Linked DNA regions of Anolis sagrei. The protein of the gene in region 4 interacts with the protein of the main gene of each other region in a pairwise test. Links are inferred from orthologs where the notes say so. Each region holds a gene or a part of one and is shown on either strand. Other genes may lie near its edges. The genes, in order: PPA2, GAPDH, ZMAT2 and HTT.

Region 1 (6,833 bases), about 76 Mb from region 4:
TTGGAAGATCGACAGTTCAAGCCTGGGTTGGGGTGACCTCCAGTCAGAACAGCTTCTGCTCACCTAGCAGTTCGAAAACAATAATGCGAGTAGATAAATAAATACTGTTTTTTTGGGGGGGGGGGTAATAAAAGAGTAATACGACCATGCTGGCGATTTGATCGGAAGAGTGTATTAAATAAAGACAAGAAAGCTCCTTAGCATGGAAGACAGCCCCCCCCCCCCCTGACAGGAGTCAAGCACAGGCTCCAGTTGCCAGAGATGGAAAAAGATGGGAAGCCTTTACCTTTGTTTATGTATTGTCTATATTTGTTGATTGTGTAATTGACATTGAATGTTTGCCTTATTAGTACACTGTAATCTGCACGGAGTCCCCTCAGGGAGATAGGGTGGACTATAAAGCATATTATTATTATTTGTAACATAAGTAAAAGGGGGGAATTTCTCATTTTAGTTTCTGTGTGTGTGTGTATACCTCCCTTGGTATTGTTTATTGGATTTCTGGATCAAACTATTTACTGATAAGCAACCAAAAACAAAAGAGAGCTAATTATCTGAGATAATTTGGAGTTACTAATGTGACAGACAGAAGGAAATGTATATTGAACTATAAAAGGGTGTATTTTGATCTGGTTTAAAATTATTCTGCATACTTTCATAAAGGTATATCCATGGAGTTCTAAAAAATCATTGGGGTGTCTCACTTTGAAATTCCAGAGGGAGCACCACATTTTTTGTCATAGAAGTAAACCCTTTCCCCTCACTTTCATTGCTAAGCTCACTTTTATTGGAGCCCCCGGTGGTGCAGTGGGTTAGAGCACTGTGCCGGCAGGGCTGAAGACCAACAGGCCACAGGTTTGAATCAGGGGAGAGTGCGGATGAGCTCCCTCTAATCAGCTACAGCTCCTCATGTGGGGACATGAAATAAGCTTCCCACAAGGATGATAAAACATCAAAACATCCGGGCGTCCCCTGGGCAACGTCCTTGCAGACGGCCAATTCTATCACACCAGAAGTGACTTGCAGTTTCTCAAATCGCTCCTGACATGACAAAAAAAAAAATGGTAAGCTAATTGAACTGTCTGCTAGGAAACAAACCTCATACTTGTGACGGTTGATAGGGTTGCTAGTTCAGGACCAGCTCAAGTCCTGGTGTGTTCAGGCCAAAACCCGAGACTTAAGGATCTTGGTGATGCTATTAAGCACCAAGCATTAAATACTAACAGCAGACACTCACAACTGCCCAAACACCACATGCTTGTGCACATATAAAAAGTGTGTTTTCCTGTTTGGATAGTTACTGGCTCACTAGAAAGAAGGTGGGCTGTAGTGTTTTGGCCCTGGGATCATCCTTCTTACTATGGTACAATATAAACAGATAGCAAGTGAGACTATGGTATTTAGGGTGCAGCAAATAAATTCTTCCAAGTTACAAACAGCGAAGACTGAGTCTGGAAGACATAACAGAAGCATAAATATTCTAAATAGCCCATTTTCTGCCTGATCTTTGAAGCTAAGGAGGGACAGCCCTAGTTAGTACTTGGATGGGAGACCAACAAATACCAGGTGTTGTAGGCTATGTTTCACAGAAGAGAACCAGCAAAACCTCTGAATATGTCTTATGTAAAAAAAAACCTATGAAATGGGTCCTCATAAATTGACAGGCAACTTGAAGGCACATAGGCACACACATATATCCAAGCAGATCAGAACTGATCTGGCATTTTGATGTCTTGAGTACAAGAAAAAACACCAAAGGAGAACTATCACTGGTGGATGGATTGCTTGAGGCAATTGCACCTGCATTTCATAGCTGAAAGGTTTGATTTAATTAAGTTATATGCCCTTAATGATCCTTAGAGGCTTTGCAGAAGAGAGAATTCAAACAAGGAGGGTCAGCAATTCCAGCAAGTAATACCGGTTTCTCCTGCTTCAGCAAAAATGGGGAATCTGAATTGATACATACACAAAAAATTAGTGTGTAATGTGTATACAGGAAGGTGACTAGATATTCAATATAAGCAGTCAAGAAAGGAACAGGACGACTTGTATGTTTTTGAGAAAGAGCCAAATGACCTCAAAAAATTAATGGTGCATTTTATTAGAAGAGCTTGCAAAAACACATTTTGGCATTATGACTTTGGGACGAAAAGAAAAGGGAAGGGAAGAAAGAAGGAAGGAGAAAGGAGAGAGGGATGGAGGGAGGAAAGAGGGAAGGAAGGAAGGACAAAAGGGTGGAAGGGAAGGAAGGAGGGAGAAAGCGAGAGGTAAGAAAGGAAGGGAAGGAGGAAGGAAAGAGAGAAGGAAGTCTAGAATGGTGAGAGAGGAGGACCTGAGAAAAGAGCCCAAGGGGCCATATCCAGCCCCCGGGCCTGGATTTGCTCATACTTGCTCTATGAGATATTAATTAAAAACTATAGCAAAATGTACTGTAGGATGTCCCACAAAAACAAAGTTTTTGCAGTTTAATAAACTTTTTTCATGGTTTTTATGATAGAACCAATTAGAAAATAACATTTATAACCCAGAAACAAAAACTGTGTTATATAGTGTATTTGTTGTAATGTTCAGTTTGTGCATCTCCTCCTTTGTTTCAGGGCTGATGAGATGCAACCTGCTTGCAGAGAACAGAATGCAAACTTCCACTTGCTAGTTTCCATCAAGTAAGCATTTAATCTGTTCTGTTCAGGTGCCATGAGCCAAATAACTACCTTCTGAGAAGAAATGGATGGGCCCCATAAAAGGAATTCTGTAGCTTGCAGTAACAGCCTAGTCCTGAACTGGTCTGACTGGTTCTTTTACCCTCCTGGCTATCTGGCCTATAACGCTGGTAAACATAAACTGATCAGACCGCACAACCTCTGAGGGTGCCTGCCATAGATGTGGGTGGAACGTTAGGAGAGAATGCTTCTGGAACATGGCCATACAGCCTGGAAAACACACAACAACCAGTGATTGTGGCCATGAATGCCTTCGACAACACATTGATCAAGCATGCTTTAGTGTGGTACCTGCCGGACTATGAAAACCCACTGAGTGACCATTTATATTTTGTTATGATGTATTTTGTTATTGTGTGTGTGTTTATTATGTTGTATTATTTTGGGCTTGGCCTCATGTTAGCTGCACCGAGTCCCCTTTGGGGAGATGGTGGCAGGTTATAAATAAAGTGTATTATTATTACTACTATTATTATTAGGGAATGACCAACCACTGCTGAACAACCATTTGATAGCCTTGCTTCAGGATCAGAATCCTAGAGTTGGAAGAGACCTCATGGGCCATCCAGTCCAACCCTCTGCCAAGAAGCAGGAAAATCACATTCAAAGCACCCCCGACAGATGGCCAGAGTTGGAAGAGACCACAAAGGCGACCCAACCAGGTAGCACAGCAATACACAATCAAAGCACTCCCAACAGATGGCCACCTGGGGTTGAATGAAGCCTGGGCCATTTGTTATGGGGCCAACTTGGGCCTTCCAGGTGTTTTGGACTCCAACTCCCAGCATTCCTAACAGCCTCAGGTCCTTTCCTTTTCCCCCTCAGCCGCTACACCTGGAAGGCCCAAGTTGGCTCATGCTTCATCTACACTGTATTATTAATGCAGTTCGACGCCACTTTCACTGCCACAGCATCCTGGGAGTTGTGATCTGGTGAGTTGCCATCACTCTTGGGCAGAGAAGGCGGAAGACCTTGCAAAACTACAACTCCCATGATTCCCTTGGCAGTGAGAGAGAGGCCAAGCTGCATGGAAGCACCCAATGCTAAGGAATACTGAGCCAAGGTCTTTCGCCTCGTCCTGCTGCATGTTTGGCTCCTCGCCCACTTTCCCCGTGTCAACAAAAGTCGAGGGCAAAGGCGCCGTCGTCGGCATGGACTAGAGGGCGGTCCGACTCCCCGGAGAAAGAGAAGGAGGAGGGGCCGCCCGCCAACGGCAGAAGGCTGCCCTGTTTCCTTCCTGCCCTCCTTCCGTGCAGCATGCGCGCCGGCTCCGCTCTGGCTCCGCTCCTGCGGCGGCTCCTGCTGCCCAGCCGCTCCTCTTACGTCAGGACGCCGGCGCGCTTCCCTCTTCCTCCGCAGCTGGGCGCCTGTCGCTGGCAAAGCGGCCTCATGGCGCACTACGGCACCGAGCAGCGCGGGAAGCTCCACGCGCCCGACTACCGACTGTACTTCAGTAAGTATAATATATAATAGTGCCTCAAACGCAGCATTGCTACAGGGCTTTCAAGGGGCGGAGCTTGGTCATAGAGAGCGTTCTAAAAGGCGGGACTTGTCGGTACGTGGCGTTCTGAAGGGCGTCCAAGGGGCGGGGCTTGCTCCTCTTCAGGACTCGATGGTACTGTACATTGTGTTCTAGGGGCGGGGCTTACTCATGCATGTCGTTCTAGGGGCGGGGCTGGCTGCTCAGAGCTTTTCTAGGGGCGGGGCTTGCTCCTCAGCGTTCTAAGGTGGGACTTGCTTCTGCAAAGCGTCCTAGGGGCGGGGCTTGCTGGTACATGGCGTTCAGGGGGCGGGGCTTGCTCCCCTTGCGTTTTGAGGTAGGACTTGCTGCTACAAAGCGTTTTAGGGGCGGGGCTTGCTCGCACTCTAAGGTGGGACTTGCTTCTGCAAAGCGTTCTAGGGGCGGGGCTTGCTGTTTAGTGGGTGAGACTCGCTTCTACAAAGCGTTCTAGGGGCGGGGCTTGCTGGTACTTGGCGTTCTAGGGGCGGGGCTTGCTCCCCTTGAGTTTTGAGGTGGAAATTTCTTCTGCAAAGCGTTCTAGGGGCGGGGCTTGCTCTAGCGTTCTAAAGTGGGACTTGCTCCTACAAAGCGTTTTAGGGGCGGGGCTTGCTCGCATTCTAAGGTGGGACTTGCTTCTGCAAAGCGTTCTAGGGCCGTGGCTTGCTGTTTAGTGACGTTCTAGGGGCGGGGCTTGCTGTTTAATGGCATTCTAGGGGCGTGGCTTGCTCCTCTGCCGTTCCAAGGTGGGACTTGCTTCTGCAAAGCGTTCTAGGGGCGGGGCTTGCTGGTACATGGCGTTCTAGGGGCGGGGCTTGCTCCTTGTTGGCGTTCTAAGGTTGGACTTGCAAACCTCTCTAAGGGGCGGGGCTTATTGGTACATGGCGTTCTAAAGGCGGGGCTTGAGGGGTGGGCAATAGGGACGTGTTGGGAGCTGACTTGCCCGACATATCTTCCTGGTTCAGAAAAAACAGGGCACAATAGTTAATTGGCAACTTCTTCGCTTGATTGCTTAGAACACACACACAGAGAATTAGAATCATAGAATCCTAGAGTTGGAAGAGACCTCATGGGCCATCCAGTCCAACCCCCTGCCAAGAAGCAGGAAAATCTCATTCAAATCACCCCTGACAGATGGCCATCCAGCCTCTGTTTAAAAGGCTTTGTGTGTGTTGTCAAATTGTATGTGTTGTCAAAATACTGAGTTGATTAGGCTGTTAGGAATTGTGGGAGTTGAAGTTTAAAACACCTGGAGGGCTGAAGTTTGCCCATGCCTGATATATAGAGTATTGTATGTCTTTGCTTACAACCTTTGTTTTTAATCTTGTAGAGAATTCAAAAGGAAAATATATCTCTCCATTCCATGACATTCCTCTCTGTGTTGGCTCAAATGAGGTAATTATTACCTATATAACATTCTTCATTTGTGGAAGTGGTCATGGGAAGATTAAACCTACTGAATGTTTTTAAAAAAACAGTTCTGTTTTTCACTTTTAGCTTTCAAGTCATAGTCTTTTGGGGGGAAATGGCTTTCATAACCTTGTTGAAAAGGAATAAAAGGAAGCCATATCCTTTTGGCAAATGTGAATCTTCGTGAGCATCTGAAGACCACCTTTAATAATTTCTGAACCTGCCAAGACCAGGAGACCTTGTTAAAAGCTAGATGTCCTGCTCAGATTCCACTTTCTAAAGCAGTGGTTCCCAAACTTTTTTTTGGCCAGGGACCACTTTGACCTGGGAACACTCTCCAACATTAGTACCAAAAGGGTTATGAATCAGTTTTTGGTGAACTAGATTCGGTTTGGTTATTTGGGGTGCTGATTCAGAAAATTGCATTGGATAAACCACATCAGCTGTAGTTTCTGGTACAGGACATATGCCATCCAGTAGTCACCATCTGCTGATGTGGTTTATCCAATGCAATTTTCTGGATCAGCATACCAAGTAAACTCAGGCCTAAAAATGAAGACACCAAGAAAAAAATATTTTTGGTTGAGCTGTGTTATTATCCATGGATTTTCTTTAAATGATCATGTTAAAAAAAAATAACGGGGTTGAAAAAAATACAAGTAGCAGAGCACAAAACCCAAGAAACTGTCTATAATGGCTTTAATAATAACAATAACAACAACTTTATTTGTATCCCGCCCCATCTCCTCGGAGGGGAGACAAGACAGCAACACTACATAGAAGAGCATCATAAAAGATACAACAAATTCCAGAACAATACAAATATACACCAAAAGAAAATAAAATTCAAAGAAAAAATGAAATACTTTAGCCAGTCCATCCTCCAGGAAATAAAGCCCAACTGCTCACTGGAGGAAATGATATTAGAGGCAACGATGAAGTACTTTGGCCACTTAATAAGAAGACAGGAAAGCTTGAAGAAAATAATGATGCTGGGGAAAATGGAAGGAAAAAGGAAGAGAGGCCGACCAAGGGCAAGATGGATGGATGGCATCCTTGAAGTGACTGACTTGACCTTGAAGGAGCTGGGGGTGGCCACGGCTGACAGGGAACTGTGGTGTGGACTGGTCCATGAAGTCACGAAGAGTCGGAGGTGACTGAACGAATGAACAACAAAATGCCTTTCGAAGGCCTCTTTATGCCTT
Region 2 (7,393 bases), on a different chromosome or scaffold from region 4:
AGTACAGTGCTGTGTGGAAGGGCCCCAAGTTACAATGCTGTGTGGAAGGGCCCTTAGATAATCCAGTTCAAAGCAGATATTGTGGAATTTTCTACCTTGATAATTCTGGGGTACAGTGCTGTGTGGAAGGGCCCTTAAATAATCCAGTTCAAAGCAGATATTGTGGAATTTTCTGCCTTGATATTCTGGGATATAGGGATGTGTGGAAGTGCCCTAAGGCTGTCTTTCACATAAAACCAGCCATCACTGACTGCAGGTAGAGAAGAGGTTAAAAACCCTCACATTTGCAGGATGGCAACACTTTCAGAGCCCTACAATTGCAAGAAATTGAAAGTTTTTGGGTGGACTAGGCACTATTTTTCTGAGGATGGTTTTGTGTCTGAATTCAAAGAGCTTCTTTGCATGACAAGTGAAATCTGACTATGCTTTTGATGGCCTTTCAAGGCCTTCCTTTGAAAGGCGAAACTCACCACTGCCAGATCTAAGGGGCAAGGCAACATGTGGGAAGGCTTGGATTTCCCCTACTAGATCAGCGTTAACATTTCTCTTGGCAGCAAGTGCATCTGCTTGTAAAGCTTCCCCGCAGGGTTGCTTTGAAGGTGCCTCACAGCCTTGCAACCGGAGATCCTGGAGACGCCAAGCTTGAGCTACATACATGCAAAGCATGCCTCCTGCCAGTGGTTTGCGGTGTGTGTGTGTATGTGTTTGCAGGCGATGTTACTGGGAGCAGCATTGAGATACATGCCCTCCCTTTCCCGCAGCACCCTCTCAGGGAACCTTTCCCTTTGGCACCCGCAGCTCCTGCCACAGAAAGGTCAGGCACTAACTTTAGCTTCTCTCCCAGGCACCAGAGATGTGGCAGCCTGATCTGGTTACAGCTTTGAGTCTCCCGCACATCGCAAGCAGAAGGTCACACATTCTTGGGTGGACCTTTCCATAGGCTTTCTGGGATGGGGGAAGGAAGGAAGGAGAAAAAGTTCTCAAGTCCCTGCGGCTAGGGCTGCTTCCTGCCGGCTGTGACTCAGCAGCCCAGCTCCGGAAAGTCAGTAAGTAAATGAGTCACCAGCCCTTTTGCTCTTCTCCACGTGTTTTCCCTGCCCCAGAAGTAGGCAAAAGGAAATGGAGGGAGCCAGGAAGATGGGGATTAAAAGGTGGACCGTTTGTTTAAGTGGGCAGCTGTTGCACAGGGCAAAAGGAGAAGAAGGGGACTTCTCTTGGAAGAAAACAGCTGCAGGGTCCCTTTGAGAGGGGGAGAGACACAAGAGGTGACCTTGAGATGTCCTTGTGAGGGACAGAAGGCAGCACTGTCTGCCGGCCAAGAACAGGAGGGAGGGAGGCTTCCCTATTGGCTGGGAAGGTCTCCAAGGGCTACCCCTCAGAGACAGACGAAGAGGCCTAAGAGAGGGAGGGGCTTCCCCCCTGTCCATCCCAAGTCCTGCCCCTTTCTGCCTGCCATGCCCAGGCTGCCCTCCCGCACGTCGGCCTGCCTTTCCCCTTTCCCCACTCACCCGTTGACTCCGATTTTCACCATCTTGCTTTCTGGAAAAGGTGATTCTGGAGGAGGGGGAAAAAAGAAGAAAAGGGTTCAAACCAAGGATGATTCCCGACAGAGGTTTCCCTAAAGTCTTGAGACAAAGGGCCCTTCCACAGAGCCCTATATCCCAGAATATCAAGGCAGAAAATCCCACATTATCTGAATGTGGACTCAGATAATCCAATTCCAAGCGAATATTATGGGATTTTCTACCATGATATTCTGGGTTATTAGGGCTGTGTGGAAAGGCCCAAACCCTCCAAGGGCTCCCTCTCTCCAAAGGCTCTTCCACACAGCCCTAGAACCCAGAATATCACAGGAAATCCCATATTATCTGAGTTTCAAGCAGATCTTGTGGTATTTTCTGCCTTGATATTCAGGGATATAGGGTGGTCTGAAAGAGCCCAAACTCTACAAGAGCTCTTTCTCCCCAAAGGCTCTTCCACACAGCCCTATAACCCAGAATATCACAGGAAATCTCATCTGAGTGCGGACTCAGATAACCCAATTCCAAGCAGATCTTGTGGGATTTTCTGCCTTGATATTAATGGATATAGGGCTGTGTGGAAGGGCCCAAACTCTCCAAGGGCTTCCTCTTTCCAAAGGCTCTTCTACATAACCCTATAACCCAGAATATCACAGGAAATCTCACATTATCTGAGTGTGGACTCAGATAACCCAGGTCCAAGCAGATCTTGTGGAATTTTCTGCCTTGATATTAATGGATATAGCGCTGTGTGGAAGGGACCAGACTATCCAAAGGCTCTTCCCCACAGCCCTATATCCCAGAATATCAAGGCAGGAAATCCCATAAGATCTCCATCGAACTGGTTATCTGCGTCCACGCTGCCATATACTCCAGTTCAAAGCAAAAAAACGTGGGATTTCCTGCCTTGATATTCTGAATTATTGGGCTGTGTGGAAGAGCCTTTGGGGAGAGGGAGCCCTTGAAGAGTTTGGGCCCTTCCACAGCCTTATATCCCTATATTCTGCTGTATGGAAGAGGCTCAAAAGATAAAACTTTCCCTAAAGTTAGAGAGGGGCTCTCTAGATGGGGAAACTTTGCAGCCACCGCCACGCCCCTATTCGGAGGCTCCTAGAGGGGAAATGAACCCACCCCACCCCTTCTAGAAGGAAGGAAGGAAGCCTCACTTCCTGGAAGGCGATCAGCCCCAACTGGGCGCCTGAAACTTGTTGCAACTTTGTCCTCGCGCTCTTGACTCAATCTAGGCACTGCCTGCCCTCCTTTTGGGGCCCCTCTTTCTTCTCAGGCCGTACCCCGACCCCTATCACTGTGCGAGCCCTGGCTTTGGGGGGATCCCTAGGAGGGTCCAGGCCTCCCTCCCTCTGGTTTCCCTGCTTCTCCCCTTGGCCTTACCCTTGGGATCCTGGCCGAACTCAGCTCTGCGGTGCAGTGAGGAGGTGAAGCAGGAAAGGGGCCCTCGGTCGGGGCCTTTATAGAGTTGGCTGAGGAAAAGGAGGGGCCCGGCTCTGCCGAATCAGGGCCCGAAGGCGCAGCCCCAAATCACAGCTCCAGCCTCCTCCCCGCCCCTTCTTGCCTTCCCTACCCCACACCCCTTTCCTGGCCCAAAGGCCCTCCTCCCTCCCTTCTCCCTCCTTCCCTCCCAGGCTCACCCCTTTCGCCCCACATCGCCCCTTTGTTTCTTTATAGAAAGGCAGACTTCCCACTTCGGGGGCCTCCATGGGAGCCCCTTTTCCGAGGCTGCTAATGGGGGTGGACTGACTCCCCTTATTGCCATGGCTATCGATACTCAGGAAGGAAAGGTGCCCTTCGCCTCGGCTTAGCTCACCCCTTTGTCTACAAAGTTGGAGTCAATAGTAAAGGTTTTCCCCTGACATTAAGTCCAGTCATGTCTGGCTCTGGAGGTTGGTGCTCATCTCCATTTCTAAGCTGAATAGCCGGCATTGTCCATAGACACCTCCAAGGTCATGTGGCCAGCATGACTACATGGAGCGCCGTTACCTTCCCGCTGGAGTGGTACCTATTGATCTACTCACCAAAGAGCCAGTGTTGTCCATAGAAAACTCCAAAGGTCATGTGGCCAGCATGACTACATGTAGTGCCATTACCTTCCCGCTAGAGTGGTACCTATTGATCTACTCACTGAAGAGCCGCGTTGTCCATAGACACCTCCAAAGGTCATGTGGCCAGCATGACTACATGGAGCGCCGTTACTTTCCCGCTGGAGTGGTACATATTGATCTATGCACCGAAGAGCCAGGGTTGTCCATAGACACCTCTAAAGGTCATGTGGCCAGTATGACTACATGGAGCGCCGTTACCTTCCCGCTGGTACCTATTCATCTACTCACCGAAGAGCCGGCGTTGTCCATAGGCAAGGTAATGTGGCCGGCATGACTACATGGACCACTGTTACCTTCCTGCTGGAGTGGTACCTATTGATCTACTCACATTTGCATATTTTCAAACAGGTAAACTGGCAGAAGTTGGGGCTGACACCCAAAGCTCACGCCGCTCTCCAGATTCGAACCTGCGACCTTTTGGTCAACAAGCTCAGCAACTCAGCGGTTTAACCCACTACGCCACCGGGAGCTCCAGTTAGAGTCATAGAATCACATTATCCTAGAGTTGGAAGAGACCTCAGGAGCCATCCAATTCAACCTCTTACCAAGGAAGCAGGGAAATCGCATTCAAAGCACCCCTGACAGATGGCTACCCAGCCTCTGTTTAAAAACCTCCAAAGAAAGAGCTGCCACTACCCCCCTAGGCAGAGAGTTCCACTGCTGAACAGCTCTCTGAGGGCTCTTCCACACAACCCTGTATCCCAGAATATCAAAGCAGAAAATACCACATTATCTGAGTGTGCTCTCAGGGCCCTTCCACACAGTCCTGTATCTCATAATATCAAAGCAGAAAATCCCACATTATCTGAGTTTGAACTCAGATAACCCAGGTCAAAGCAGTTATTCTGGGATTTTTAGCCTTGTTATTCTGGGATATAGGACTGTGTGGAAGTGTTCACTGTTAGGAAGTTCTTCCTAATGTTCAGGTGGAATCTCCTTTCCTGTAGTTTGAAGTCACTGCTCCACGTCGTAGTCTCCAGGGAAGCAGAGTCTGTCAAAAACTTCTCAGTTTGGCAGAATCAGATAAAGTATCTGACCTTGTTAAAGAAAACAAATTGATACAAAGCTTTCAAGAGAATTGGCAGCCATTTCCACACTGCCCCTATATCCCAGGATCTGATCCCAAATTATCTTGTTATCCCAGATTATCTGCCAGTGGAGACTCATCTAATCCAGTTTAAAGCAGACAACCTGGAATCAGATCCTGCAATATAAGACAGTGTGGAAAGGGCCTATATATGTAACATTTTTTTTGTTGGGTTAAAAATTTCATTTTTCACTTGGTTCTATCATAAGAACACAGAAAAAGCTTATGAAACTCCAAAAAACTTTTGTTTTTGTGGGACACTCTGCATCACATTTTGCTCTAGGGCCCTTCCACACAGCCCTATAACCCTGAATATCAGGCAGAAAATCCCACAATATTTGAGTGTGGACTCAGGGCCCTTCCACACAGCCCTATATCCCAGAATATCAAGGCAGAAAATCCTACAATATCTACTTTGAACTGGGTTACCTGAGTCCACACTGCCATATATCCCAGTTCAAAGCAGAAAATGTGGGAATTTATTCAGCTCTCTGGAAGGGGCCCTGGTTTTTTCAACGAATACCTCATAAAATCTCAACCAATTCAAGTTTGTGGCAGTTTCTGGAGGATAACAGCTACTTTAAAGGAAGTACCGCACAATTAAACAGGAAATAACCCTTTCAAACCAGGAAGATACATTTTATCAAATGTTGTTACATAGTATAACAATATTGTTACCTGCCTCTCCTTGTGGATACAGCAGGATGAAAACGGAGAGATGAAACACAACACTATTATAATACATATAACACAATGCATAGGAACCCCTGGTGGTACAGCCAGTCAAACTGCTGAACTTCTGAACTTAATGACTGAAAGGTCAGCAGTTCAAATCCAGTGATGGGATGAGCTCCCGCTGTTAGCCCCAGCGTCTGCCAACCTAGCAGTTTGAAAATATGCAAATGTGAGTAAATCAATAGGTACCATTTCAGCAGGAAGGGAATGACACTCCATGCAGTCATGCTGACCACATGACCTTAGAGGCATCTATGGACAACACCAACTCTTCAGCTTAGAAATGGAGATGAGCAACACTCCCCAGACTCAGACACAACTAGATTTAATGTCAAGGGGAAACCTTTACCTTTAACAGAATACACATGTAATAATCACAATAATAAATATATAGCTAATAATAAACACATAATAACTTAATAATAAATACCTACATAATAACAATAATAAATGGGTCCACACTGCTATATAATGCAGAGGCGCTACATTTCAATACACTTCACTTTCTGAAGGAAACTTTTACACTTTGAGGCCTTCAGCATCAGCAAAAGAAGCCGAGGGCCAGGCATTTTTCCCACAACCCCTTCTTTTGTTAAAAACTCAACCAAGGGGAAGTCCTCCCATCCCTCCAAGAGTGATGTCAGCGGTTGCCAGGGTAACAAGTGGAAATTATTTGGGGGGTGGTGAGGTTGGAAGTAGTTCTCTTGACCTGCTCTATTAACTCTGCTATCTATTTATTGTGTCAGAAGCGAATTGAGGATACAGTTATAATGTATTAAACAAAATACAAACAAAGTTAAAAACTTGATATCATACTAGATTTCTTTTGACCAGAAGCTGGCCACTCGGAGTGCCTCTGGTGTTGCTGTAAGAAGGTCCTGCAATGTGTATGTGGCAGTGCTCAGGCTGCATTGTAGAATGTTTGCTTTTCTCCACACGCGCATGTTGTGGACTCCACTTTGTAGCCCCATTTCTTAAGACTGGCTTTGCATTTCGTAGTGCCAGAGCACAGCCTGCTCAGTGCCTTTCAAGTCGCCCAGTCTACTGTATGCCCGGGGGGGGGGGGGGGAGTTTCTGATTCAGTTTCTGCCACTGATTGAGGTTTCGGGTTTTAGCCTGCCACTTTTGGACTCTTGAAGTATGGAACCCTGTGCAGACGGTCAGTCAATGTGCAGTCATTGAATTATTGACAGCATAGGTATCACCCCAAAGGAGATTGCAAGCTGTTTATGGTGATTGTATTGATGTGAGTACTGTACGTCGTTCGGTGAATAAGTTTAAAGATGTTGAGGTGGGAACATCTGACTTGAGTGACAAACAAAGAGTTGGACGTCCTGTGACAGCAACCACTGAGTTTCCCAAGCAAAAGGTTGACAGATTGATTCAGGACGATCGTCGTATCACTCAGAGAGAAATTTCAAGCATAATAGGCATTTCGCAAGCATAGGATGCTTGCCATAGATGCAGGCAAAACGTCAGGAGAGAATGCCTCTAGAACATGGCCATAGAGCCCGAAAAAAACCTACAGCAACCCAGTGAATAGTGGTAGTTAAAGAGCACATTCTAAGGATTATTTCTGCGTTTGATTTATTAAAATATTCCCATCCAAACCCAAGTAACGCAGGTGGAGGCATTACTTTTCATTCAACCCTCGTAGTATGAGTTCTAGTTGGGTTGTTGGGACATTAAGGGCCACTAATTGCATTGAAACTGATTTCCAATCAAAAGCACAAAGGTGCACTTAGTTTGAGAAAGCCATAAAAAGGCCATTTTGCCACCCAGTGAGCCCAACTTTGTCAAACTTTCCGCCCCGCCCCCTGCTTGAGGCATTTCCTGGCTCCATGATGGGTTTCTTTTCATTGTGCCCATTGAGCAGGCCTCCCCTGGGTTTCCCCAACCTATTATGAGGCCCATCCCCCCTCCCCCCAATA
Region 3 (7,831 bases), on a different chromosome or scaffold from region 4:
GTGCAGTCTTTTCATCAATGATGCCGTTTTCGTGCCCCACAATTATTGTATTAATGGCATACAGAATGTAAAAGAAAATAGCAAAAGAGAATAAAATGCATATAATACAGGTATGCCATTCCCCCATAACCTCTGGTCCCACTCTGCGAAACAAATATCTAAAAAAAACAACCTCTATTCTTGTCTTTGCATTCATAAATGTTCTGAGTTTTCTTGACGCTGCAGAACTTATGAAGTTCTTCCAAAGAGGGCAACCAATGATTCTCTATGCAGTAGTGGTGACCCTTTGGCGTGCCTTCCTATCTGTCACTGTGCAGTTATCAAGTCATGCGCAGATATAGTAGGTTAGGGCAGTGGTAGAAAGTCATCCACAGTTTTTCATTCAGTTGTTGGTTCCTTAGACATCTCAGGTAGTACAGTCTCTCCTGGGCACTCTTAACCAGCGCTGCTGTATGGGTGTCCTAGCTCAGATCCTCCTTAACAGGGATACCCAGGAACTTAAAACTGGCCACCCATTCCATTTGGTCCCCATTTATGACGAAGGGCTAAATTTCTGGTCTGTTCTTTCTGTAGTCTACTATGAGCTCCTTCGTTTTATTGATTTTAAGAACCAGATTATTGTCCCTGCACTAATGATTCCAAATTTCGGTGTATCTCAGATTTCCGAATCCTGGATAATAATAGTTCAGGAGGATACAGGTTTCTGTTTTGAGCTGTATCAAATACAATGTTATTAAAAACATCTCATTCTCCCTCAGGGCCCATCAACACAGCCATATAACCCGGAATATCAAGGCAGATAATCCACAATATCTGCTTTTAACTGAATTATCTGAGTCCACACTGCCATATAATCCAGTTCAATGTGGAAGGAACCTCAGTCCACAACTTCAGAAGATTCTGATGCAAATACAGCTTTATAGGACTTGTATTTAAAAAAAATATTTTACAGATTTGAACAAGAGTATCAAGGCTATTTCTTTATTTACTACTAGCTGTACCCACCACGCTTTGCTGTGGCCAACCTTCCCTCTTTCTCTCCTTCTTTCCCTCCTTCCTTCACTCCCTCTTTCCTTCCTTCCTTCCCTCTCTTTCCTCCTTCCTTCCCGTCTTTCCTTCTCTTCTTCCTTCCTTCTCTATCTCTTTTCTTCCTTCCCCCTTTTCCTTTCTCTTCTGCTGTCTCTCTTTTCTTCCTTCTCTCTTTCCTTCACTCCCTCTTTCTCTATATCTTCCCCGCTTCCTTTGCTCCCTCTTTCCTTCCTTCTTTCCCTTTTTTATTTCCTTCTCTAACTTTCCTTCCTCCCCCCCTTTCTTTCCCTCCCTCTTTCTTTCCTTTCTTCCTTCTCTACCTCTTTCCTTCCTTCCTTCTCTCTTTGCTTCCATGCTTCTTTCTCCCTTTCCTTCTTTCTTTCCCTTTTTTCTCCCCTTCCCTCCCTCTTTCTTCCCTTTTTTCTGTATTGTCTTTAGCTTTTCGTCATTTAGCTTTTTGGGGCTTTTTAAGTCCCTTCTGCTGTGTTTTTCAGTGTTTTTATGAGTGAAGGACATACATTGGGTTGTTAGGTGTATTGTGTCCAAAGTTGGTGTCAATTCGTCCAATGGTTTCTGAGTTCTGTTAATCCCACAAACAAACATTACATTGTATTGTCAAAGGCTTTCATGGATGGAATCACTAGGTTCTTGTGGGGGGGGGGGGGTTTGGGCTATATGGCCATGTTCTAGAGGCATTTTCTCCTGACGTTTCGCCTGCATCTATGGCAAGCATCCTCAGAGGTAGTGAGGTGAGACAAGAGGGATCCTCTCACCTCTGCAGGAGTCTACCGTATACCATGCAGCTGTAGACAAGTCTACATAGGGACCACCAAACACAGCGCCCAAACACAAATCAAGGAACATGAAAGGCACTGCAGACTACTTTAGCCAGAGAAGTCAGCCACACCAGAGCACCTGATAAACCAGCCTGGACACAGCATATTATTTGAGAACACAGAAATGCTGGACCACTCTCACAACCACCATGTCAGACTACACAGAGAAGCCATTGAAATCCACAAGCATGTGGACAATTTCAACAGAAAGGAGGAGACCATGAAAATGAACAAAATCTGGCTACCAGTATTAAAAAAACTCTAAAATTACAACAGCAAAACAGCAGAGAGAAAACAACCAGGCACATCTTAACACCTCTCAACAAAAGATTCCCCAAGGCTCAGCCAGGCCTTCAAATGCTAATGAAGGCGGTCAGTTGAAACATTCACACCTAGCTCCAGCAGAGAAGAGCTCTTTGCCTCACCCAAGTCATTCCACAGATATATAAACCCATTTTCCTAACTCCAACAGATCTCACTACCTCTGAGGATGCTTGCCATAGATGCAGGAGAAACGTCAGGAGAAAATGCCTCTAGAACATGGCCATATAGCCCGAAAAAACCCACAAGAACCTGAACATTACATTGTTATTTATATAGATATTTCTTTTACTATACTTGTATACCGCCTTTCTCAGCCTATCGGCGATTCAAGGCAGTATTTAGAACACACATCCTCCCATTTTCTGGGCCTCCAACTCCCAGAATTCCTCGCTACTGATCAAGATGGCTAGGGCATCTGGGAATTGAGACTCAAACAGCGGGAAGGCCGTAGTCGGAAGATGCCTTCCCTAGAATGTGTTAGGAGTGTCAAGTGCGGGCTTTAAAGCGCTTATCTCAAGTCAAGAAGTGCAATACAAAGCCGCTGAGGAGCCGGGCCTTTCTCTCGGCGGCGTCCCAGAAGCCAGGAGCCCTTTCCCGCACCCGTTGGGGGCCTAAAAGCGGAGCCACACCGGAAGGCCCGCCGCCCTGCTCTCCCTGAGGGCCATTACAGCTCCTCGGGACAGAAAACCGGGCAGAAAAGGCCTTCCTTGCCTTCTAAATCAAGTCCACCACTTACCCCACTGCCGGACGCCATCTTGCCTGTGAAGCGTCCCGGAAGCCGGAAAACGTCGCGCAAACTGGGGCCTGCCGTAAAGCGTACTTCCGGTTGGTCCTTTCTAGCCAGAGCGTCCTCACCCAAGCTGCAGCTTTCTCTATGCTTCCTGGGAAGCCTTTTCGCTCAGGAGAGGTAAGGAAAGGACGTGTCTTAGAGCGTGTTTGTGCCTCAGAAAGGAAGCTTATAGCTTTGCCTCGAGGGTGAGGCAGACAGAAACCCTTCAAGCTTTTAGCCTTCACGTGTTTCTCTTTCAAGTGAAAGCACAGCCTTGCTTCTGGCTCCAACTCCCAAGTCTGTCTGTGCAGCAAAAGGTCCTGGAGGCCTAGTGGCAGGTGCCCTTCTACACAGCCCAGAATATCAAGGCAGAAAATCCCACAGTATTTGCTTTGAAGTGGGTTATCTGAGTCCACACTGCCATATATTCCAGTTCAAAGCAGATATTATGGATTATCTTCTTGGAGAATGGGAGAAGTTCCAGCACCAATGTGGTCCCAATCTTCAAGAAGGGAAAAAAGGATGACCCAAAGAATTACCACCCGGTCAGCCTCACGTCGATACCAGGCAAGATTCTGGAAAAAAATGTTAAGGAAGTGGTTTGCAAACACTTTGAAACAAATGCAGTCATCGCTAATAGTCAACATGGATTTATCAAAAACAAGTCATGCCAGACTAATCTGATCTCTTTCTTCGATAGAGTTACAAGCTGGGTAGATGCAGTGAATGCCGTGGATTTCAGTACCTGGATTTCAGTAAGGCCTTCGACAAGGTCCCCCACGACCTTCTGGCAAACAAACTAGTCCAATGTGGGCTTGTCAAAACTACGGTGAGGTGGATCTGTAATTGGTTAAATAGACGAACCCAGAGGGTGCGCACTAATGCTTCCTCTTCATCCTGGAAAGAAGTGACGAGCGGAGTGCCACAGATTTCCGTCCTGGGCCTGGTCCTGTTCACCATCTTTATTAATGACTTAGATGAAGGGTTAGAAGGCAGGATCATCAAGTTTGCAGACGACACCAAATTGGGAGGTATAGCCAATACTCCAGAGGACAGGAGCAGGAGTCAAAACGATCTTGACAGATTAGAGAGATGGGCCAAAACTAACAAAATGAAGTTCAACAGTGACAAATGCAAGATACTCCACTTTGGCAGGAAAAACGAAAGGCAAACATACAGAATGGGGGACAATGCCTCGCTCGAGAGCAGTATGTGTGAAAAAGAGCTTGGAGTTCTCATTGACAACAAGTTAAACATGAGCCAACAATGTGCTGTGACGACAAAAAAAAGGGCCAATGGGATTTTGGCCTGCATCAATAGGAGCATAGTGTCTAGATCTAAGGAAGTAATGCTACCCCTCTATTCCACCTTGGTTAGACCACACCTGGAATATTGTGTCCAATTCTGGGCACCACAATTCAAGAGAGATATTGACAAGCTGGAATATGTCCAGGGCGACTAAAATGATCAAGGGTCTGGAGAACAAGCCCTATGAGGAGCAGCTTAAGGAGCTGGGCATGTTTAGCCTGAAGAAGAGAAGGCTGAGAGGAGATATGATAGCCATGTACAAATATGTGAGAGGAAGTCACAGGGAGGAGGGAGCAAGCTTGTTTTCTGCTTCCCTGGAAACTAGGATGCGAAACAATGGCTTCAAACTACAAGAAAGGAGATTCCATCTGAACATGAGAAAGAACTTCCTGACTCTGAGAGCTGTTCAGCAATGGAACTCTCTGCCCTGGAGTGTGGTGGAGGCTCCTTCTTTGGAAGCCTTTAAACAGAGGCTGGATGGTCATTTGTCAGGGGTGCTTTGAATGCAATATTCCTGCTTCTTGGCAGGGGGTTGGACTGGATGGGCCATGAGGCCTCTTCCAACTCTATGATTCTATCTCCCCAAGGGGACTCAGAGCGGTTTCCAAGTAACATAATCAATCCATACAAATAAAACAGCATAAACATAACATTAACAAGACAATATAAGCATTAAAAACCACAATAGCACATATATTTAAAATAATCCTGCCTGTTCAAGGAAGTTTAAAAGGCCGGGCCAGTGCAATTTTAGAGGGCCCAGGAAATTAGGTAGAGTCTATGGTCATACATTTCCAGGGCCTAATAGAAGAAAGTGACCTGGGTAATTGGAAGAAAAAGATATGGCCAATTTCAACAGTATCTGGGTTATAGCTAGAACTAGTTATTCTCAAAGGTTTGTTTAAACCACCAAGTCTTCAGGCTCTTACAAAAGGAGGGGAGAGATTGAGCCTGTCTTATTTCTCCAGGAAGGGCATTCCACAGGTGGGGGCCACCACCGAGAAGGCCCTCTCGTCCCAACCAACCGTGCTTGGAGCGAAAGGAGGGCCTCCTCGGAAGATCTTAAAGTTTGTGCCGACTCATCGTTAACGACTCATTGTTAAGAACGGGGAGGGGGGAGGTGAGACAACAGGAAGTGAAAGAAATCTACCGCCAGGAAGGGAAATTCACTCCTAGAAGAGTTACCATGGAGAAAAGGGGTATCCAATGAAGCCTTCCAACCAATCCTTGTTTCCACAACAAACCATTTTTTTTCACACAGCCATATAACCCAAAATATCAAGGCAGATTATTTCACAATATCTGCTTTGAACTGGGTTATCTGAACCACATTGCCATGTATTCCAGTTCAAAGCAGAAAATGTGAGATTTTATTCAGCTGTATGGGAGGATCTCCGCCATTAGTCTGTGTGACTTTGCAAAATAGTTTTCTCATTGTTGGATTTTATGTCTTGCTTTTTCTCTCTGTTCTTCATGCTGGATACATCACAGATGCATCTTTCACTGATCAGAATGCAAAGGCTTCCTCTCCTGTGCTGCTCTGAAGATTTGATATGCCCAGTATAGGAAACATTGCTGGCAGATGCTGTTGAAACTCCTCGACATGTATTGGATAAGCTTTTTCACAAAGGCTCTGTATAGGAGACAGCTTATGCCAACGCAGTTTTGGGTTCAAAGGACACTTTCCAGCCATCTACCGAACAAGGTGCATCTCGTTTACCACAATTCTTCTACAACTCTTGTAGCTTTGAGTTTAGAAGTTTCTTCCTAGCAGCATTTTGGAAATTTACAAATAAAAGCCAAATTAACCTGCTATTCAAGCTTCTGCGGGGTTGGGAATGGGCTGGAACATTGCCACCTTTAGAATGTTAAGAATTTAGGACTTCTTGAGATCTTAATCTGTCCTTACCATTTTGCACTGATATGTCAGCTGTCTTATATTAATTGAAATCTGTAAAACGAACATAAAAAAGAGTTATTCATATTTCCAATGTAGTATTACATTTGTCTGTTGCAACAAAAACAACAAATGATCCTGTGCTGCATCAAAGCCTAACAGATATATTACAGCCTAATCATTAAGGAATTATAGCCCACTTTATCAAAGGCATACTGTCTTACCCAGAATTTCGAGTAGATTTAGTACACATGTTTGAGGATAGCACAGTAGACACTGAAGTCAGAAAGAACTCGCATGTCCATGTTATAATACATGTGTTGGTCTTTAAAGTGCCATGGCATCCTTTTTATCAGATTTGCTTTGCTCTCAGGTGACTGAAGATGTGGTAAATCAACCATCGCCACAGCTGAGAGATGCTGGAGGAAGAGGAAACATAATTCTCAAAACCCCCAAGGTAATAGCCCATCTGTGTTCTGCTTCCTCTTCCAGAGTCCCCTTCGAGCACTGCTTAACTCTGGTACTTCCTTTAACGGAACAAGCCGTACCATCATCCTTCCAGATGATCTTATAGAGCACTCAGCCCCTTTACCCCATTAGCTTAATCTACTGCTTTTTCAATTTTCCCCTCTCTTCCAATCATTTTCTATTATTTTTAGCAGTACTTGATTCTCGTTAGAAGATTTTTTGGCACAGAATCAAATGCTTAGTATTAAACAATTGAAGCATCTGGAAGCCCTTCAGCTGTTGGCTGCTGTTACTATTTCAGCTGTGTAGTTTTCATCAAGCGTTTCTTTTTTTAAAGAAACATCTCTTCTAAACCCCCATCTTTTCTTCGGTGTGGACTTTCAGGGCACCAGGGATTTCAGTCCAAAGCAGATGGCCATCCGTGAAAATATCTTTGCCACCATTATCAGCTGCTTCAAGCGCCATGGAGCTGTGACGATAGACACCCCTGTGTTCGAGCGGAAGGTGAGGATGGATCAGTATTATTTTGGAAGTGCTAGTGGCCTTTTTGTCTGACAAGAGCTTCACATTTCTAGAGTCTTTTTCTGCTAAAGGCTGAAATTCTACACAAAGGCTGTTTTAGTTTTATTGATTTCAACAGAACCATAGCAACTTAACTGTGTCCAGGAGTGAAACCGAAGTAAATGCCTGTTGTTTTGACTCCATTGATATTAATGCTATTTGGTTCCAGTTAAGTGTATTAGGATTGGGAAATGAGGCATGGTTGTCTTCATGAGAAGTGCACGTCTTTTTACATTAAACCTATATCATGGATTTATATTGCATCTTATCTACCAAAATCATTGTTAAAGGAATAATAATAATAATCTTTATATATAACCCATAATGGCAAACATTCAATGCCAAAAACCAAATCGACAGTCAAAGCAAAAACATAAAAATAAACTCAATATAGCAGGGATTGAACTAAATAGATATAATAGACACAAAAAGTCATACCAATTAATAAATAGTACATTAAAAACACAATATAATACAGCATATCAGCAAGCTGAAGTAAATGTCTGTTGGATAGATCCCTTCTCCAGCCAGGCCATGAAAGTTCAACCCTTTATGCTCCTATTACTCACATTGCCCCTTAGGTTTCCTCCCTAGATCAGGTACTTGGGCCACAATAGTGTGTAGCAATGGACATGTTGT
Region 4 (7,706 bases):
TGAAAGCAGATAATGTGGGATTTTATACAGTTGTGTGGAAGAGGCCTGAAAGACTGAAGAGATTGAAAAAGTTATAGTTTTTTTGTTTTTTCTTTCTTTTTTTGGGTAGGTTATAGAGTATCCTTTGTAGATCCACTAATTATGTTTTTAAAAAAAACAGATGTGTTTGTAGAAATTATTTTTATTTTATATCACTCACAGCCCTTCCACACAGCCATAAAACACAGAATATCAAGGCAGAGAATCCACAGTATCTGCTTTGAACTGGATTGTCCAAGTCCAGTTCAATTTGGATTTCATGCAGCTGTGTGGAAGGGGCCTCGGTCTTTCAATGGCCACACTGTACTTTCTGGGCAGGACTGAAGTCAATGACAGCACTTTAATTTAAAGAAGCTTTAAAGCCCAGTCAACTTAAAAGACTGCATCTCCTTCTATGAAGCTGCATGAGCTCTGAGATCAACAGAAGTCCTTCTCCCAATCCCACCACCTTCGCAAATACAGTTGGTGGGAACAAGACAGGGCCTTTTCGGTAGTTGCTGCACGGCCCTGGAACTCCCGAAAGACATCAGAATGGTCTCCCCTTCACTAACTTTCAGGTGCCAGATAAAAACTTTTCTCTGGAATCAGGCCTTCAAGGAAGAATAATACAAGAGTGATAGGCGCCATAGTAGCATTTGAGCTGAATCTTTTTCCTGCAATACCTTTATGGACAAGTGGTATTAGAACAGATAATTACTTTGGTTTATGTTTACAGTGTTCCCTCACTACTTCGTGGTTCGCTTTCAGCGGATGCGCTGTTTTGCGGTTTTCAAAAAATATTAATTTAAAATATATATTGTGGTATTTTCGCTGTTTCGCAAGTTTTGCTGCCGCGGCCTCCAAAACACTTTTCCTCCTCAGTACTCCCTCCCTCCAGCCTTGAAGGGCCTTTCCTTCCTTTCCTTTCCTTTATTTTAAGTTTATAAAGACGTAAAATAGTGTATAACTACTAAAATAATGTATAAATATTAAAATAAATATAGTGTCCCTACATCGCGGTTTTTCACTTATTGCGGGAGGTCCTGGAATGTAACTCCCGCAATAAGTGAGGGAACACTGTATTTAGTTTTAACTATACCTAAAGTGCTGAATGTATTTTAATCTGTAACATATTCTGTTATGGTGTAACTGCTTTATTATGTTTCAGTTGTCATTTTTTTAAAAAATCTGTTTATTTTTATTATCCCAATGTACTTTGTATGTTTTATACCTAGTTGTTGGCCACTTTATTTATTTTTCAGCATTTTTACCCCGCCCTTCTCAACCCCCGAGGGGGGACTCAGAGCAGCTAACAAGGGCAGCAATTCGATGCCACAATCAATAACACAGTATAAAACCATAAATACATACAGAGTTAAAACAATAGCAGTTAATTATAACCAAATTATCATAAGTCATGAAAAAAAAATACTCAGTCCACAAACCCACTGATAGAGCCATAAAACCGTATCGTCATACGTATCGTCTTGCCAATCCATTTCCAGTCAAAGTGCTGCTTTATGTTTATTGTCCGACAGCCTGGTCCCAAAACCAAGATTTTAATTTCTTCCTGAACACCAGGAGGGATGGGGTCGATTGTATTTCATTTGGAAGCGTGTTCCACAGGCGGGCGGCTACAGCTGAGAAGGCCCAGTCTCTCATCCCCGCCAGCCGCGTTTGCGATGTTGGCAGGAGCGAGAGCAGGGCCTCCCCGGATGATCTTAAGTTATGAGGTGGGACGTAGAGGCAGATGTGTTCGGACAAGTAAGCTGGGCCGGAATCGTATAGAGCAGTGGTTCTCAACCTGGGGTCCCCAGATGTTTTTGGCCTACATCTCCCAGAAATCCCAGCCAGTTTACCAGCTGTTAGGATTTCTGGGAGTTGAAGGCCAAAAACATCTGGGGACTCCAGGTTGAGAACCACTGGTATAGAGCTTTATAGGTAAAAACCAGCACTTTGAATTGAGCTCAGAATTGGACAAGCAGCCAGTGGAGCTGACACAACAAGGGGGTGGTATGCTCCCTGTATGTAGCTCCTGTTAGGAATCTGGCTGCCGCCCGTTGGACTAACTGCAGTTTCCGAACTGTCTTCAAAGGCAGCCCCATGTAGAGTGCGTTGCAGTAATCTTTGAATCCCCAAATGGGGGAATATATTAATTAATTTATATAATTACTATAATTATAATTAATAAATAATTTTTTTAAAAAAAACCGTTACAAGGAAGCACTTGCTGAGGGGGTTTTGGTGGGCTGATCCTGCACGGCAGGAATCGAAAGTGGGTTATTGTAGGTTTTTTCGGGCTGTATGGCCATGGTCTAGAGGCATTCTCTCCTGACGTTTCGCCTGCATCTATGGCAAGCATCCTCAGAGGTAGTGAGACCTCAGTGATTCCGGCCTTGAAAGCCTTCGACAATACAAGAATCGAAAGAATTCAATTCACAAGGCTAATCCAAACATGGGACTGAAAGAGAGTGTGGCTGCTTTTGCTACCCATGATTTTAGATCGAGGTCGCTTTCTGTCATAAGCTTCCTCGAGTCCCATCTTTGGAAGAAAGGCGGGATTCCATAGGCTCCATCCCCTCAGGACAAATGCCCCGGTCTCCGGGGGAATCCCCACAGACAGGAAGACAGGCAAAGAGACAGGCCCAGCCTGGCCTCTCCCCGCCCGGACTCACGGTCTCTGAGGGGGCTCCTCGGCGGCGGAGGCGGCGGCCACTCCGGCCGAGGAAGCGGCTGAGGCGCCCGCTGGAATGGCGGCAGGGCTCTGCTGCTGCTGGAAGGAGCGGAGGGACTCGAAGGCCTTCATCAGCTTCTCCATGGTGGCCATGACTACACTCGGAGGGCTCCGAGAAGGAAGCCCACTCCTCCGGCGCCTTCCCGCTCAGGGCAGCACAGCAGGCCTCGGAACTCAGAGCAGGCAAGCGCCCTCAGCCCGCCTCCAGCGCACCGACGCCATCTTGGAAAGCTCCCGTCATTCCCCGCGGCACCGCGACGGAACGCCCCCTCGCCGTGTCCTTGTCCCCTCGCCACTTCCGGGCTTCCCCTTGAAAGGCAGGCCAAACGCCAATCAGCGCCAAGTAGAGGAGGATACGCTCCGCCTCCTGGCCAGCTGTATGGAAGGGGCCTCAGATAACCCAGTTCAAAGCAGGTATTACAGATTAGCTGCCTTGATATTCTGAGGGCCCTTCCACACAGCCCTATATCCCAGGATATCAAGGCAGAAAATCCCACTATTGCGAAAGACTGCTCCAACTTCCGTACAGTGGCCCTTATTTCTCATACCAGTAAGGTAATGCTCAAGATCCTGCAAGGAAGACTCCAGCAATACATGGAGCGAGAGTTGCCAGATGTTCAAGCTGGGTTTAGAAAAGGCAGAGGAAGGAGAGACCAGATTGCCAATATCCGCTGGATAATGGAGAAAGGCAGGGAGTTTCAGAAAAACATCTACTTCTGCTTCATTGACTATTCTAAAGCCTTTAACTGTGTGGATCATAATAAACTGTGGCAAGTTCTTGGTGGGATGGGCATCCCAAGCCACCTTGTCTCTCTCCTGAGGAATCTGTACAAGGACCAAGTCGCAACAGTCAGAACTGACCACGGAACACCAGACTGGTTCCAGATTGGGAAAGGCGTACGGCAAGGCTGCATCCTCTCACCCAACCTTTTTAACTTGTATGCAGAACACATCATGCGATGTGCGGGGCTGGATGAATGCAAAGCTGGGGTGAAAATTGCTGGAAGAAACATTAACAACCTCAGAAATGCAGATGACACCACTCTAATGGCCGAAAGCGAGGAGGAGCTGAGGAGCCTTCTAATCAAGGTGAAAGAAGAAAGCGCAAAAGCCGGGTTGCAGCTAAACATCAAAAAAACCAAGATTATGGCAACAAGAATGATTGACAACTGGGAAATAGAGGGAGAAAACGTGGAGGCCGTGACAGACTTTGTATTTCTAGGTGCAAAGATTACTGCAGATGCAGACTGTGGCCAGGAAATCAGAAGACGCTTACTTCTTGGGAGGAGAGCAATTTCCAGTCTCGATAAAATAGTAAAGAGTAGAGACATCACACTGGCAACAAAGATCCGCCTAGTCAAAGCCATGGTATTCCCTGTAGTAACCTACGGATGTGAGAGCTGGACCTTAGGGAAGGCTGAGTGAAGGAAGAGAGATGCTTTTGAACTGTGGTGCTGGAGGAAAGTGCTGAAAGTGCCTTGGACTGCGAGAAGATCCAACCAGTCCATCCTCCAGGAAATAAAGCCCGACTGCTCATTGGAGGGAAAGATACTAGAGACAAAGTTGAAGTACTTTGGCCACATCATGAGGAGACAGGAAAGCCTAGAGAAGACAATGATGCTGGGGAAAGTGGAAGGCAAAAGGAAGAGGGGCCGACCAAGGGCAAGATGGATGGATGGCATCCTTGAAGTGACTGGCTTGACCTTGAAGGAGCTGGGGGTGGTGACAGCCGACAGGGAGCTCTGGCGTGGGCTGGTCCATAAGGTCACAAAGAGTTGGAGATGACTGAACGAATGAACAACAACAACCAAAGCTATGAAAGAGTACTGTCTGTGTTAGGATGAAATACAGTTGGCACATAATAAATGCATTTCAAAACACACAACCACCCCCACCACCCCCAAAAAAGGAAAACACTCCAAGCCACAGCTTCTCCTTGAGCTTCATTTTTTTTCCTGCAGATATCTATAAACACCCTAAATGCAGCAGATCCCCTCTGAGCGGGGAATTTTAGAGTGTAACTTTTAATGTTTAATAATACATACGTTTTTAAGGATTATTGAACATCTAATATTTGTTTAGTGTTTAATTATTTGTATGCATGTTTTAAATATGATGTGAGCCACCTTGAGTCAGTCCTGTTGAAAGGTGGCATTGAAATATTTATATATAAATAAAAATGTAATGTTAGTTCGTGTACCATCAGAACTCAAAAACCACTGGGGGAATTGACACCAAATTTGGACACAAGACACCTAACAGTCCAATTTATGTTCTCCATTCAAAAAAATTGATTTTGTCATTTGGGAATTGTCGTTGCTGGGATTTATAGTTTACCTACAATCAAAGAGCATTCTGAACTCCACCAATTATGAAATTGGGCCAAGCTTAGCACACAGGGCTCCCATGACCAACAGAAGAAACTGGAAAGGTTTGGTGGACATTGACCTTGAGTTTGGGAATTATAGTTCACCCACATCCAGAGAGCACTGTGGACTCAAACAATGATGGATCTGGACCAAACTTGGCACAAAAAATCCATATGCCTAAATATGAACACAGATGGAGTTCGGAGGAAATAGTCCTTGACATTTGGGATTTGTAGTTACTGGGACTTTTAGTTCACTACAATTAAAGAGCATTCTGAAACCCACAAACGATAGAAATTGGGCAAACTTCCCACACAGAACCCCCATGACCAACAGAAAATACTTAAGGCCATCCGGTCCAACTCTCTTCACCAGGGCAAGAAAATGTAATCAGAGCTCTCCTAACAAAGAGCCATCCAGTCATAAATATAGATAGATAGATATGATTCTCACACACACACACACACACACACAGATATAGTATAGATTTGAAAGAGACCCTTAAAGAAGGACTATGATATGTTGCATGTTCCAGAGTAGGCAAACCAGACACTCTCCACATCAACACTGACAAAGAAACAAGAAATACTGTTTATTCACAAGAATAAAGGAATTACTTATATTAGAAACCAACACTTTCTCATTACTTTATTTTCCAGATCACCAGACTGGGCCACAGCAATGCGTGGCAGGGGACAGCTAGTCTGTAATAAATAAACACATGGCTTCTGAGGGCCCTTTCACACAGCCCTATATCCCATCAATGCAGAAAATCCCACGTTATCCATGTGTGGACTCATATAACCCAGTTCAAAACAAACATTGTGGGATTTTCTACCTTGATATTCTGGGATAGAGGTCTGTGTGAAAGGGCCCTCAGGCTCCTCTTGCACTGCTTCCCCATCCCAGGGCCCTTCCACACAGCCCTCTATCCCAGAATATCAAGGTTGAAAATCCCATTATATCTGCTTTGAACTGGGTTATGCGAGTCCACACTCAGATAATGTGGGATTTGCTGCCTTGATATTCTGGGATAGAGGGCTGTGTGGAAGGGCCCTCAGAAGCACCGATAGTGTCAATAGGGGTCCGCGCAGCCGCAGTTCCTATCTTCGCGCGCTTCCGGTTTCTCCTCCCTCGGCAGGGGAAGTGCCAGCATCCCTGAAGGAGGCCGGTGGGCGGGGCCTCCAGCGGAAGCCACGCGTGTGAGCCTCCGGAAGCGCAGAGCGCCCAGTCCCCACGCGAGCAACCATGGGGAAAGCTAAGCGTAAGGGAACTCTTGCTGCTGCTGCTGCCTCCGCCAAGACCGACGCCATGGCGCAGAGCAACCCCTTCGAGGTGAAGGTGAACAAGCAGAAGTTCCAGATCCTGGGCCGGAAGACCAGGCACGACGTGGGGCGGCCGGGGGTCATGCGCTCCCGGGCCCACAAAAAGGTGAGGTGATTTGTAAGGATAAATAACAGAATGTCCTTGGTTTAGTTTTGGATTTGATGAGTGGTCCCATTGGAAAATGCATCAGGATGTGAGCAAACTACAATTCTCATCACCTCTGTCATTGCCCCCAAACCGCATCAGTATTTAAAGCAGGGGCACTTCCAGACAGGCCCCACATCCTAGGATCTGATCCCGGGTTTTCTGATTTAAACTGGATTATATAAATCCCTATTGCCAGATAATCTGGGATAAACAGAAAATAATCTATATATATATATAAATGCTCTGTGCATAATGAGTACCTTAAAAACAAAAGAACCAATGAATGAAATAACACCAAATTTGGCAACAAAATGTCTCACAACACAAGGAATGACCATCACTCAAAAAATTATGATTTTGTCATTTGGGAGTTGTAGTTGCTGGGATTTATAGTTCACCTACAATCAAAGAGCACTCTGAACTCCATCAATGATGGAATTGAACCAAACTTGGCACACAGAACTCCCATGACCAACAGAAAACACTAGAAGGGTTTGGTGGGCATTGTCCTTAAGTTTGGGAGTTGTAGTGGACTCAAACAATGATGGATCTGGATCAAACTTGGCACAAGCACTCAATATGCCCAAATATGAACACAGATGGCATTTGGGGAAAATAGACTTTGACATTTGGGATTTGTAGTCACTGGGATTCACAGTTCACTTACAATCAAAGAGCATTCTGTACCCCATGAATGACAGAATTGGACCAAACTTCCCACACAGAACCCCCATGACCATCAGAAAATACTTAAGGCCATCCAATCCAATTCCCTTCATCAGGGCAAGAAAACGTAATCAAAGTCCTCCTGACAAAGAGCCATCCAGCCATAGATCAGATAGATAGATATGATTCACACACAAATACACAGATATAGTATCATAGATTTGAAAGGGGCCCCTAAAGAAGGACAATGATAGGTTGCATGTTCCAGAGTGGGCAAACCAGACAATCTCCACATCAACACTGACATAGAAACAACAAGGAATACTGTTTACCCACAAGCAGAAAGGAATAACATAGATTAGAAACCGTTACTTTATTTTCCAGATCACCAGACTGGGCCACAGCAACGCGTGGCAGGGGACGGCTAGTAAATAATAACAAAGCTT

What was found.
Region 1: the proteins of HTT (region 4) and PPA2 interact in binary tests that used the Homo sapiens proteins (3 or more experiments, as listed by UniProt). The link is inferred for Anolis sagrei from reciprocal best matches to the Homo sapiens genes HTT and PPA2.
Region 2: the proteins of HTT (region 4) and GAPDH interact in binary tests that used the Homo sapiens proteins (3 or more experiments, as listed by UniProt). The link is inferred for Anolis sagrei from reciprocal best matches to the Homo sapiens genes HTT and GAPDH.
Region 3: the proteins of HTT (region 4) and ZMAT2 interact in binary tests that used the Homo sapiens proteins (3 or more experiments, as listed by UniProt). The link is inferred for Anolis sagrei from reciprocal best matches to the Homo sapiens genes HTT and ZMAT2.

The regions. Positions count from the first base shown.
Region 1 is NC_090025.1:28,949,257-28,956,089, reverse strand, and holds the start of PPA2 (inorganic pyrophosphatase 2, mitochondrial), read left to right. Parts: upstream 1-3,814; 5' UTR 3,815-3,977; coding exon 3,978-4,173; intron 4,174-5,548; coding exon 5,549-5,613; intron 5,614-6,833.
Region 2 is NC_090022.1:197,266,537-197,273,929, reverse strand, and holds the start of GAPDH (glyceraldehyde-3-phosphate dehydrogenase), read right to left. Parts: upstream 3,020-7,393; 5' UTR 2,913-3,019; intron 1,555-2,912; 5' UTR 1,532-1,554; coding exon 1,509-1,531; intron 1,047-1,508; exon of another isoform or gene 784-1,046; intron 1-783. UniProt on the Homo sapiens protein: Has both glyceraldehyde-3-phosphate dehydrogenase and nitrosylase activities, thereby playing a role in glycolysis and nuclear functions, respectively.
Region 3 is NC_090024.1:136,398,333-136,406,163, forward strand, and holds the start of ZMAT2 (zinc finger matrin-type protein 2), read right to left. Parts: upstream 3,013-7,831; 5' UTR 2,944-3,012; coding exon 2,926-2,943; intron 1-2,925. Other genes in the region: histidine--tRNA ligase, cytoplasmic-like, read left to right, coding at 5,849-5,971, 6,537-6,620, 7,016-7,135. UniProt on the Homo sapiens protein: Involved in pre-mRNA splicing as a component of the spliceosome.
Region 4 is NC_090025.1:105,051,981-105,059,686, reverse strand, and holds the start of HTT (huntingtin), read right to left. Parts: upstream 3,016-7,706; 5' UTR 2,846-3,015; coding exon 2,694-2,845; intron 1-2,693. Other genes in the region: NOP14 (nucleolar protein 14), read left to right, coding at 6,370-6,552.